Sus scrofa: one gene and its partner. The protein of the gene in region 1 purifies or fractionates together with the protein of each later gene. This does not show direct contact. Links are inferred from orthologs where the notes say so. Each region holds a gene or a part of one and is shown in the gene's direction. Other genes may lie near its edges. The genes, in order: PPP1R15A and EIF2S1.

The links.
Region 2: the proteins of PPP1R15A (region 1) and EIF2S1 purify together in Homo sapiens (affinity purification with western blotting; 4 studies listed by BioGRID and IntAct, with this or other methods). This does not show direct contact. The link is inferred for Sus scrofa from reciprocal best matches to the Homo sapiens genes PPP1R15A and EIF2S1.

The regions. Positions count from the first base shown.
Region 1 is NC_010448.4:54,170,436-54,174,947, forward strand, and holds the start of PPP1R15A (protein phosphatase 1 regulatory subunit 15A), read left to right. Parts: upstream 1-1,602; 5' UTR 1,603-1,839; intron 1,840-2,551; 5' UTR 2,552-2,560; coding exon 2,561-4,180; intron 4,181-4,512. UniProt on the Homo sapiens protein: Recruits the serine/threonine-protein phosphatase PPP1CA to prevents excessive phosphorylation of the translation initiation factor eIF-2A/EIF2S1, thereby reversing the shut-off of protein synthesis initiated by stress-inducible kinases and facilitating recovery of cells from stress.
Region 2 is NC_010449.5:91,083,587-91,088,082, forward strand, and holds the start of EIF2S1 (eukaryotic translation initiation factor 2 subunit 1), read left to right. Parts: upstream 1-1,438; 5' UTR 1,439-1,852; intron 1,853-4,496. Other genes in the region: ATP6V1D (V-type proton ATPase subunit D), read right to left, coding at 1,068-1,108. UniProt on the Homo sapiens protein: Member of the eIF2 complex that functions in the early steps of protein synthesis by forming a ternary complex with GTP and initiator tRNA. This complex binds to a 40S ribosomal subunit, followed by mRNA binding to form a 43S pre-initiation complex (43S PIC).

The DNA.
Region 1 (4,512 bases):
AGCTCCCCCACCCCCTATATCACTTTCTGTCCCAGTCTTTCTGTTTCTGTCCAAATCCTCTCCTGGGCTCACAATCTCTTTAAGTCTCCCTTCTGTTCCCTCCCTCTCGCCCTCTCTCTCTCTGGCCCTCCACGTCTGCTGTTTCCTTCTCTCCCGGACGCTCCTTCTCACTGTCTCTCTTCCTCTGCTCTCCCAGTTTCTCTTTCCCCTCTGCTGGTCTTTCCTTCCCCCTGCCAGCCGCCCACGCTGCTGTCCCGGCTCCCAATCCCCGCTGACCCCGCCCCTCTTGGCCTCCCCACCACAGCCTGACCTCTGGCTCAGCTGCCCCCACAGCTGAAGGGAGGGGCTGGGGGCTGGGGGCTGGGGGCTGGGGGCCACCCTCCCACCTCCACCCCACCCATCCACCCACACGCTCTTAGGTCCCTGCTGGACCGGGTCCCATCAAGGCTGAAGCTGGGATTCCTACATGTTTGGAGAAGAGGAGCTGGGCCTGGACTCCAGGACCTGAGGGGGCAGGTTGTGATCGGAAGCCTGGGTGATTGGCGCCTTGGGAATGGAAGGGAGGGGTAGGGGCTCAGACTACTGGGTACCTGACAAAATGTGAGCCAGGAGTCAGGACTTGAGAATGGAGCTGGGGTCTGGAGGTGTGGCTTGCAGTGGATGGGTCCAAGTCCTCCAGAGAAGAGAGGGCGGCCCCCAGATTGCTGGGTTCTGGCAAGAGCAGGGTCAAGTGGCCAGTGGCAATCTCCACCTCAGATCCAGGTGAGAACTCCGGTCTAGACTGAGGATGATGCCCTCTCAGGAGGGAGGCCTGGGTCCTGGGCGTATTTTGAGGTACAGGATTGCAGACCAGGTTGGTGGTGGGGTGCCAGGGACTGAAACCATGTCCTTAGGCCTGGAATTTGGGGCAAAAGACCGCCCCCCCACTCCCTTGATGTTGGTGATACCCAGCTAGAATTTCAATTTGTGTAAGCGGAGGTTCTGTATAAATTTGAAGTAGGTGGAGCCTAGGAGTGGCGCCTTGTGCCTGAGATAGGCACGGGATCTGAGGTTTTGGTCCAGTATTTCTCACCGCGTATTTGTTGAGCACCTACTATGTGTCACGCAGGCAGTGAGCAAAGAAAAGCGCCTGCCTTCAGGGGCCTTACACATTCTCTTTCTCTTTTGCAATGAATATAGACTCCGCTGTGCCCACCCTTGGGCAAGTGATTTCATGCCCAAGACTCAGTTTCCCCATCTGTGAAATGGAAATAATGATACCTTCCCACACCGGATAGGAAGCCGACTGGACTGGAGGGTGGAAGACTCTAGCCTGGGGCCGGCTGGCTAAATTGGGGGCGGGGAGTAACGGCGTTTGCCTGGAACAGAGGTTGAGCTCGCGCGCTCAAAACCTAACCAGTTCATGAGTTTGATTGGCAGCTCGCCTGCTTCAGGGCGTGGCCACGCTCAGAAATACCGCCGTGACGTCATAAAGTCCGGAATCTCCGCGAGAAGTCCAACCTTGTTTTCCGTTTCGTCCATCACGATTACGATTCGAAACCCCGCCTCCTCTCCTGACGTCACCACGTCCGGCTGCGTTTGTGTATAAAAGCGCTGAGGACCGCGTCAACCCTTACGTCCTAAGTGGCTAGCCGGTGTGTTTGTATTTGTTTCTCCGTGTGACCTTGCGCCCATTCGTCGTGACAACGCTTGCAGCAGCCGGTGACAATTTGAGTCCCCGAGCCCGACGCCGGAGGGCGAAATGAACGCTCTGGACTCCCGAGCTGTCCGGAACTGCGATCGCTTGTGGCAGCCCCAGCCGACGCTCCTGCCCCCAGGGTGACGCGCAATCCCGAGCTGGTGAGTTGAGGGGGTCGGAACATCTAGGTTCCTAGGGGTTTGGGGGCGGAGGACTAGAATCCTGGTCAATAACGAGGAGGGAGCTCGAACTTCTGAGTTCCGAGATAGGGGTGTTCGGAGCTCGGACTCCTGTGCCCTAAGGACTCCTGGGAACCTGAACTCCTTTTTCTGGAGAGGTGGGACGAGGCCGGACCCGAGGGCTCGGACTTAGGCAGGAGAAGGAATTGGGAGCTTAGAGTCCTGAGCCGGACAGAGGAAGAGTCTGGGAGCCAGAAGGCACCATCTAGGGATCGGAAGTTTTATGTCTTGGAAGGAGGAGAATGGTGGGCGCCTAATTTTTCAATCCTCAGGAGGATGAGAGAGGCAAGGGACAAGGACTTTGTCCCCAGAGGAAGCAAGCAGAGGACCTGTGTTCTTGCTTCCTGGGACTAGAATTTAATGGGTCAGAGAGGAAATGGGGCTGGGAGCCCTTTGGGCTAAGGAAGGAATGAGTGATGATCCAGACTCTTGGGTGTTGAGAGAGGCTGGGAAACTAGGGACAGAGATGGGTGTGGCTGGGATGAGAAAGGAATGTGGGGCGGGGCCTCTCTGGTTGCTGTTTGTGTTACTATTCGTGTTACTATTTGTGTTGCTATGACTCAAGGTCACTCTCTGATGCTATTCCCTCCATGGCTTCTAAACTCGTTTCCTTTTTTTTCTCCCTTTTCCCCAGCAGACAAAGATGGCCCCAGGCCAAGTGCCCCACCAGCCTGCCCCCTGGAGGGCTACCCACTCCTTTCTCCTGTCCCCGCTGATGGGCCTTCTCAGCCGGGCCTGGAGCCACCTGAGGGGCCCAGGCCCTCCAGAGCCCTGGCTAGTGGAGGCAGTAACCAGGGCAGACGCGGGAGAACCTGGCCTGGAGGGAGACACAAAGGCTTCTCTGGCCACCCAGCCACAAGAAGAGCCTGGAGAGAGGAGAGCAACTGAGGAGGATGAAGAAGCATCCTGGGGGAGCTACCCTGACCTGGAAGCCAAGTGTTTGCTTTTGGAAACCTGGGGACTTTCAGATGATGAGCGTGGTGGGGAAGCAGCAACCCGCGTCCCTAGAGAGCCCGGAAGTGAATTTATGGATGGCCTTCCTGCTCCCCTGTCCCCCAGCCTTCTGATGAGAGCCCAGCAGGACGTTCCTGGGGAGGAAGAATCTCAGGAAGAAGCAGTTACTGAAGATAAAGACATAATCACCTTCGCTTTTCCTCTGTCACACTGGGAGGGTTGTCCAGGTGTGGCAGTGGAGGAGGAGGAGGAGGCTGGAGAAGCTGTAAATAAAGAAGCTCCTAGAACATCTACCTCCCCCTCAGCTCCAGGACCCCAGCCCCGCTCCTGGGTGTGCTGCGCAGTGGAAGGAGCCACAGAGGAAGAAAGAACAGAGAACAAAGCAGCCACGAAGCCCTCCACCTGCCCCTCATCCCTCGGTTCCCACCCCGGGGCCTGGGAGTGTTGTTCAGGGGAGGAGCCTGAGGAGGAGGAGGACAGAAAGGTGGAGAAACGAGAGGCTGGCCCAGAGCCCCACTCCGCAATTCTAGCCCAGAGCCCCCTGCTCGGGACCCGGCAGCATCAGTCCAGGGAGATCTCAGAGGAGGAAGATGAAGAGAAGGATGAGGACAGGGATCTGGGGGCAGCCGAGGGCCCTTCTTCCAACCTACTCACAAATGCCTTCCTGAGGGCCTGGGTGTACAGACCCGGAGAGGACACGGAGGAGGAGGAAGACGGGGACAGTGACGAGGGAGCAGCTGAGGAGGAAGGAGAAGCTGAGGAGGAAAGAGAAGCTGAGGGTCCCTCTTCCAGCCCGCACCCAAGTGCCTTCTTCAGAGCCTGGGTGTATCGACCCGGTGAGGACACAGAGGAGGAGGAGGAGGACAGGGATAGTGATGCAGGAGCAGCTGAGGAGGAAGGAGAAGCTGGTCCTCCTTCCGTCCCACCCACAAGTGCCTTCCTGAGGGCCTGGGTGTATCGACCCGGAGAGGACACGGAGGAGGAGGACGACGATGAGGAGGAAGAGGATGGGGAATCAGAAGCAGCTGTCTGGGGACCAAGTCCATCCCTTCAGGCCCAGCGTGCCCTCCGCAGGGACCAGATGTATCAGCCTGGGAAGGGAACAGAGGGCGGGGAAGCTGCGGAAGAGCGGGAAGAAGCTGAGCCCTGTCCCTTCCGAGTGGCCATCTATTTACCTGGAGAGAAGACACCACCCCCCTGGGCTCCTTCCCGGCTGCCCCTCCGCTTGCAACGGAGGCTCAAACCCGCAGAAACCCCCACCAGCCCTGCCAGGCATCAGGACCCAGAGCCTCCCCGAAAGACCAGAAAGGTGGGTGCCGAGGGCTCAGATTCTTGAGCATCAGGGAAGAGGGCTGGGAGCTGGAACTCCTGGGTCCCCCCGTGTTGCAGAGGGTTGCGCGTGAGCTCTGCGGGGAGGCTTGTCCCCTGTAATGCAATCCTTTGTAAGAGGCTGGGCCCCAGTGGGGAGGAAGGAGCAGTCTCGCTGATGTCAACCCCAGGGAACCACCTCCTGCTTCAGATGAGTCACAGAGAATCGGATGACAGGCGGGTGACTAACCTGATAACAAGCGCTGTGGTGCAATTAATTGTTTGCTTCTCTCTCTCTCTCTCCCTCCCTCCCTCCCTCCCCGCCTGCACCTG
Region 2 (4,496 bases), on another chromosome or scaffold:
ATTCTCTGAGAAAAAATTCAGAATGAAGAAAAACAAAAGGTCCCCCAAAGAGAGGACCACAGTCAAAACATCTCTCAGAACCAAAACTGACTTTCTGCTCCTTAGAGAAAGAAAAAAAAAAAAAAAAAAAGAAGAAGAAGGGGAGGAGAAAGGGGAGAAGACGACAAATAAGAACAATTATTACTTTCCACATGTTCTTAGGCACATTTAAGAAAATTTCAAAATTTTCTTTACAGACTGGCCAAACACCTAGAGTGCTATGCTATTTCTCCAGCCAAAGAATTCAGGCAATGAAGCCCACGACTGACCAAATTCCAAAATATGGGTTCATTCAGGCACCATTTTTTTAATGGACTTTCTATGGATTAATAAAAGAGATCTCATCCTGGAGAGGGCTTGTAGTTCAGTGGTAAATACACATAAAACAATATCCACTTTACAACGTGATGGGTGATATTAACACAGGCCTGAATGAGATGCAATGGTGACAGAGCAAAAGGAGTGCCTTAGAAATTCTGGGATAGCTTCCCACCTCAGGCGACAAACATTTCAAGGGAAAAGGAGCAAGGGGATCCACTATCGAACCTAACGTCCACGTTACGGTGATTGGATTCAACCCCCAATTTGGCTTAGAAGCCTGCTTCCCATCGTAGTAAACTTCCTTTTTCAAAGCATTATCGGCAAACCTCCTCGGCTTGTCTGTCTTTAGCTCTCTTAAGGCACAAGTGACGAAAACTCATAGGTACGTAAGGATAGTGCCCGGCTCAATAAAGGAATGTGGGGTGAAAAGCTCAATTAATGAGTAAAGTCAATGAGCCTTCATAAAATCCAGCAGGCCGGGCGCCTGTTCCACCGGCTGGGCTCGTTCTGCCCAGTCCGGTTCAAACAGAGGAATGTGTGCGGGCCCGCCAAAGAGCTTCGCCCTGGACTCACGAAGTGTCTGAGGAGAGCTCAGAGTCGGCCAAGGAAACAAGGTGCCTCGCTGCTGGTCCAGGGTGTGAACGGACAGCGGCTCCGGGCCGGTGTTCCTGAACCCGTAAGTGTGTTCGTTCCATTCTTTTACTTACATTCGCGAGGGAAAGATTTCAATTCGGTCTTTGCCCGACATTCTGACGGCGACCGTGCGGCTCCGGTCCCAGGCCAGGCAAGTGCTGCAGCCACAGAGTCCTTCTCTACCGGAGTCAGCTGGTTGTGTCACGTGACGCCCTTCGCGTTGCTAAGAGGCAGCCGGAGTGTCTCTTCTTCACTTCCGCTTTCTCTTGGCACAGGAGTGCAGGAAGGCCGGGACAGGAAGAAGGCGATGCCCGGATGTTGAGGCGCGCGCACCCCGGAACCGCCCCTCGATTCCGGTACGCTGCCGAGCCCCTCCCCCTCCAGCTCCCAGGCGGCTGCGCAAGGCTCTACACCCAAGAGACGAAAGACCGAGAGAGAAGAGTACACCCCTTCTCCTCCTCCACATTCACCTCTGGTCACAGCGCCACCTCATGGTTGACTGACAGTATCGTAGAGAATTTATTCTTTAGGGACAAGGAATCCGAGTCTTACTTCTTATCTGCGCCTTGAAAGTCACTTAGCGAAAACTAAAGATGGCGAGAAAATGTACTTTTCAAGTCCTCCTAAGGCCCACAGACCTCTTTGTTCGCGGAGGACCTAGACTCTATGGTAGGTGATGAAGAGCGGTCTGTAGTCTGTCGGCGCTTGCGTGCTGCGAGGTGGTTCCGCATGCGCGGTAGGGTTGAGAGAAGCGCACGCTGAAGAGAGTCGGCGGCTGCTGCGGGTGGATCAAGTCAGTTCTCTCTGATTGAAGAGCGCGGCGCGGGGCCCCAGTGCGGGATCCATATACATACCTCAGGTGACTAGTCTCCCCGATCAGTTTCTCGAAGAATTTACTTTGGTTGTGTCCAATGGCATGGGTGTTCGGTAGAGGGTAGGCCCTGGGTTAACACCTCCTTTTCCCGTCCCTGAGCGGGAAGTGCCTGGACGCGACTGCGGTCGCCACCGGCCGGGTGTCGGTCTCTCCGAGCGGTGGTGTCAAGGTACGAACGAAGGAATCTCGTGAAGGGAAGTGGGCCCAGTGATTGTACAGCGTCTTCAATATACATAAAACAGGGGTGCCTTGAGGTGGGGCCGTCTCGGGAGAACGCTATGACACCCCCGCCCCACGACGCTGAGCATTTTGCTCTCTCCGGGCCTGAGAATTCCATCTTTTTCGTCCGCCCCAGCAAATACTACCTCTCAGTGGAAACCAGACCGGCCGCTTCAAGGAACCGGTGGTTTGGGCCATGATGTTGACAGAGTTGGGTTTAAAAGTATCCAAGAATAATTTGTTCCTCTGATAACTTATATTTAAAAATTGAAGCTCCTATCACTTTATCGCTCGGTGCATTTCTGTAGACTGAGTCACCCCTTCAGTTGAAACTAAAAGATACTGTTGAAGAGTTTATATATAACTCTTAGTATCGGTTTACCGTGTTTCAGCATCGATGAAAGTAAACTTGTAGAATTACACGCTGTGATCTTTCGGTTAAGCATAACTAAAAAAACATAAAGATAAGGGAATTTTATTACCCCCCCAAACTTAGACTACTTTAAGTTTTATTTAACAAGAAACATTGTTTCGTGGAGGAAAGGTTTAGCAAGAAGTCTTGGTTTTTCTCCCGTTTGATGTTATTATTCAAGGGAAAAAATCTTGTAACTCTGTGTCTTTCAGCAGTTTGGAATTATGTAGAGCTTTACTGTCTGTTCTCAGTTCATCTGATGCCAAATAACAAGTCACTGATCCTCAAAAGATCTCAAAAAGATGCATAGTAATAATGCTTGTAGAAATTGGTGCTGCTTATTTCAGCCACAGTAAAATAGTTTAAAAGCTTTGTTTATGTAATTTATGTAATAAAAACAGGCATTCAGAGAAGGTAACTGATGAGTGTTAGAGCGGAGTTAGAATTATCATAGAAGTTGCCTCTAACACATCATACGTTACTTTCAAAAAAAATGTGGACTTTCTGTATCCATCATGGCCGCTTGACCATGCAGTCGTTTAAGAAAAAAGTCCTGCCTACCTTTTGACCAGGCAGGATTACTCACAGTGCAGGGTATTTGAAACTTGCTTCAAGTTCAGTTAATATATTTTGAAAGATGGGTATTCTTTACCAAAGAACACATACTGTGTTGTAGTACTCTGGCATATCGAGGCTCTGTGGTTTAAGAAACTAGATTTAGTATTGAATGACCTGGTTTTAGCTCCCTTTCTTATGAAGCATTTGTCTTTGAGGAGGTCATTTAGTACTTTATTTTAATAATAGATGCTGCAAAAAAATTGTTTAATGAACTAAATTACAAAATGGAATTGATACCTTCTTTGCCTTTTAATGTCTTATATTTGTATAGCACATTACACTTTCCAAAATTTTTCACGTGAGTATTTTATCTCACTTGATAACCCTGCACAAACCTGTGAAGTATATGGCACACACTAGAAACTGGAGTTAATGGGAATATGTTTCCCAGGCAGCCACAGGTAGTAAGTAAAAGTGCTTTGAACATCATATAAAGGGGTGATAGATACCTGGTGTGACTCCTATTTTCCTGATGGATTTTTTCAAAGCTATGTTATTAGCATAATATCCATAAGTAAGGAGATAGGTTCAAAATCTATCAACCAATATGCAGTTTTCTTGCAAAATAGATTATATATTATTTTTTTATTTTTTAAATTTAATTTTATTGGCGTATAGTTGACTTAAAATGTTCTGTTAGTTTCAGGTGTACAGCAAAGTGAACCAGTCATACATATAAATATATCCATTCTTTTTTCCCAAATAGGTTATTACAAACTATTGAGTAGATTTTCCTGTGCAAAATAGATTATTTTTGTACTTGTGGGCTACTTCCTATCTTTTACTGTGAATGACATAATATCAGCAATATTCCTTTATTTACATTGTGTGTTGAAAAGAAAAAAAACCTGTACCTCCTAAAGCAGTAGCATTCATATCTCCCTTCAGAATTCTTTTACATTATTGCTTATGTTCTTTAACATTCAGATTGTCTTGCTTTCCCAAAATTATCTATTTGAAGAAATAAATAATTACTACTACTATTTGATAAGTTACTATTTGAAGAAACTTGGTGAGTAAAAGTGGTTAGTATCTGTTAAATCTATTAAAATTGTTTCATACATTTCCATGACATTTACTTGGATATCCAGTTTGAAACTTTTTTAGCTCTCAAATTTTAGTACATTACACACATATTTGACAACAATTGTCCGAGGAGGGGGAAAGAAACCCTGTTTAAAAAGGAAATAACCAGCTCAGCTGTTTCTTGGTGGGTAATTCTGGCCATTGCATGTCTACTTCCTTTATTTGCTAAATCCCTATTTTGTCAAGCTTCAAGGGGTACATATCTCTGCAGTGTTATTAATATGCTGCTTTATTTTTTTTTTTGTTAAGCAGGATAGATTAATACCAAAAGTTTGCACTAATATGTAGTTTTTG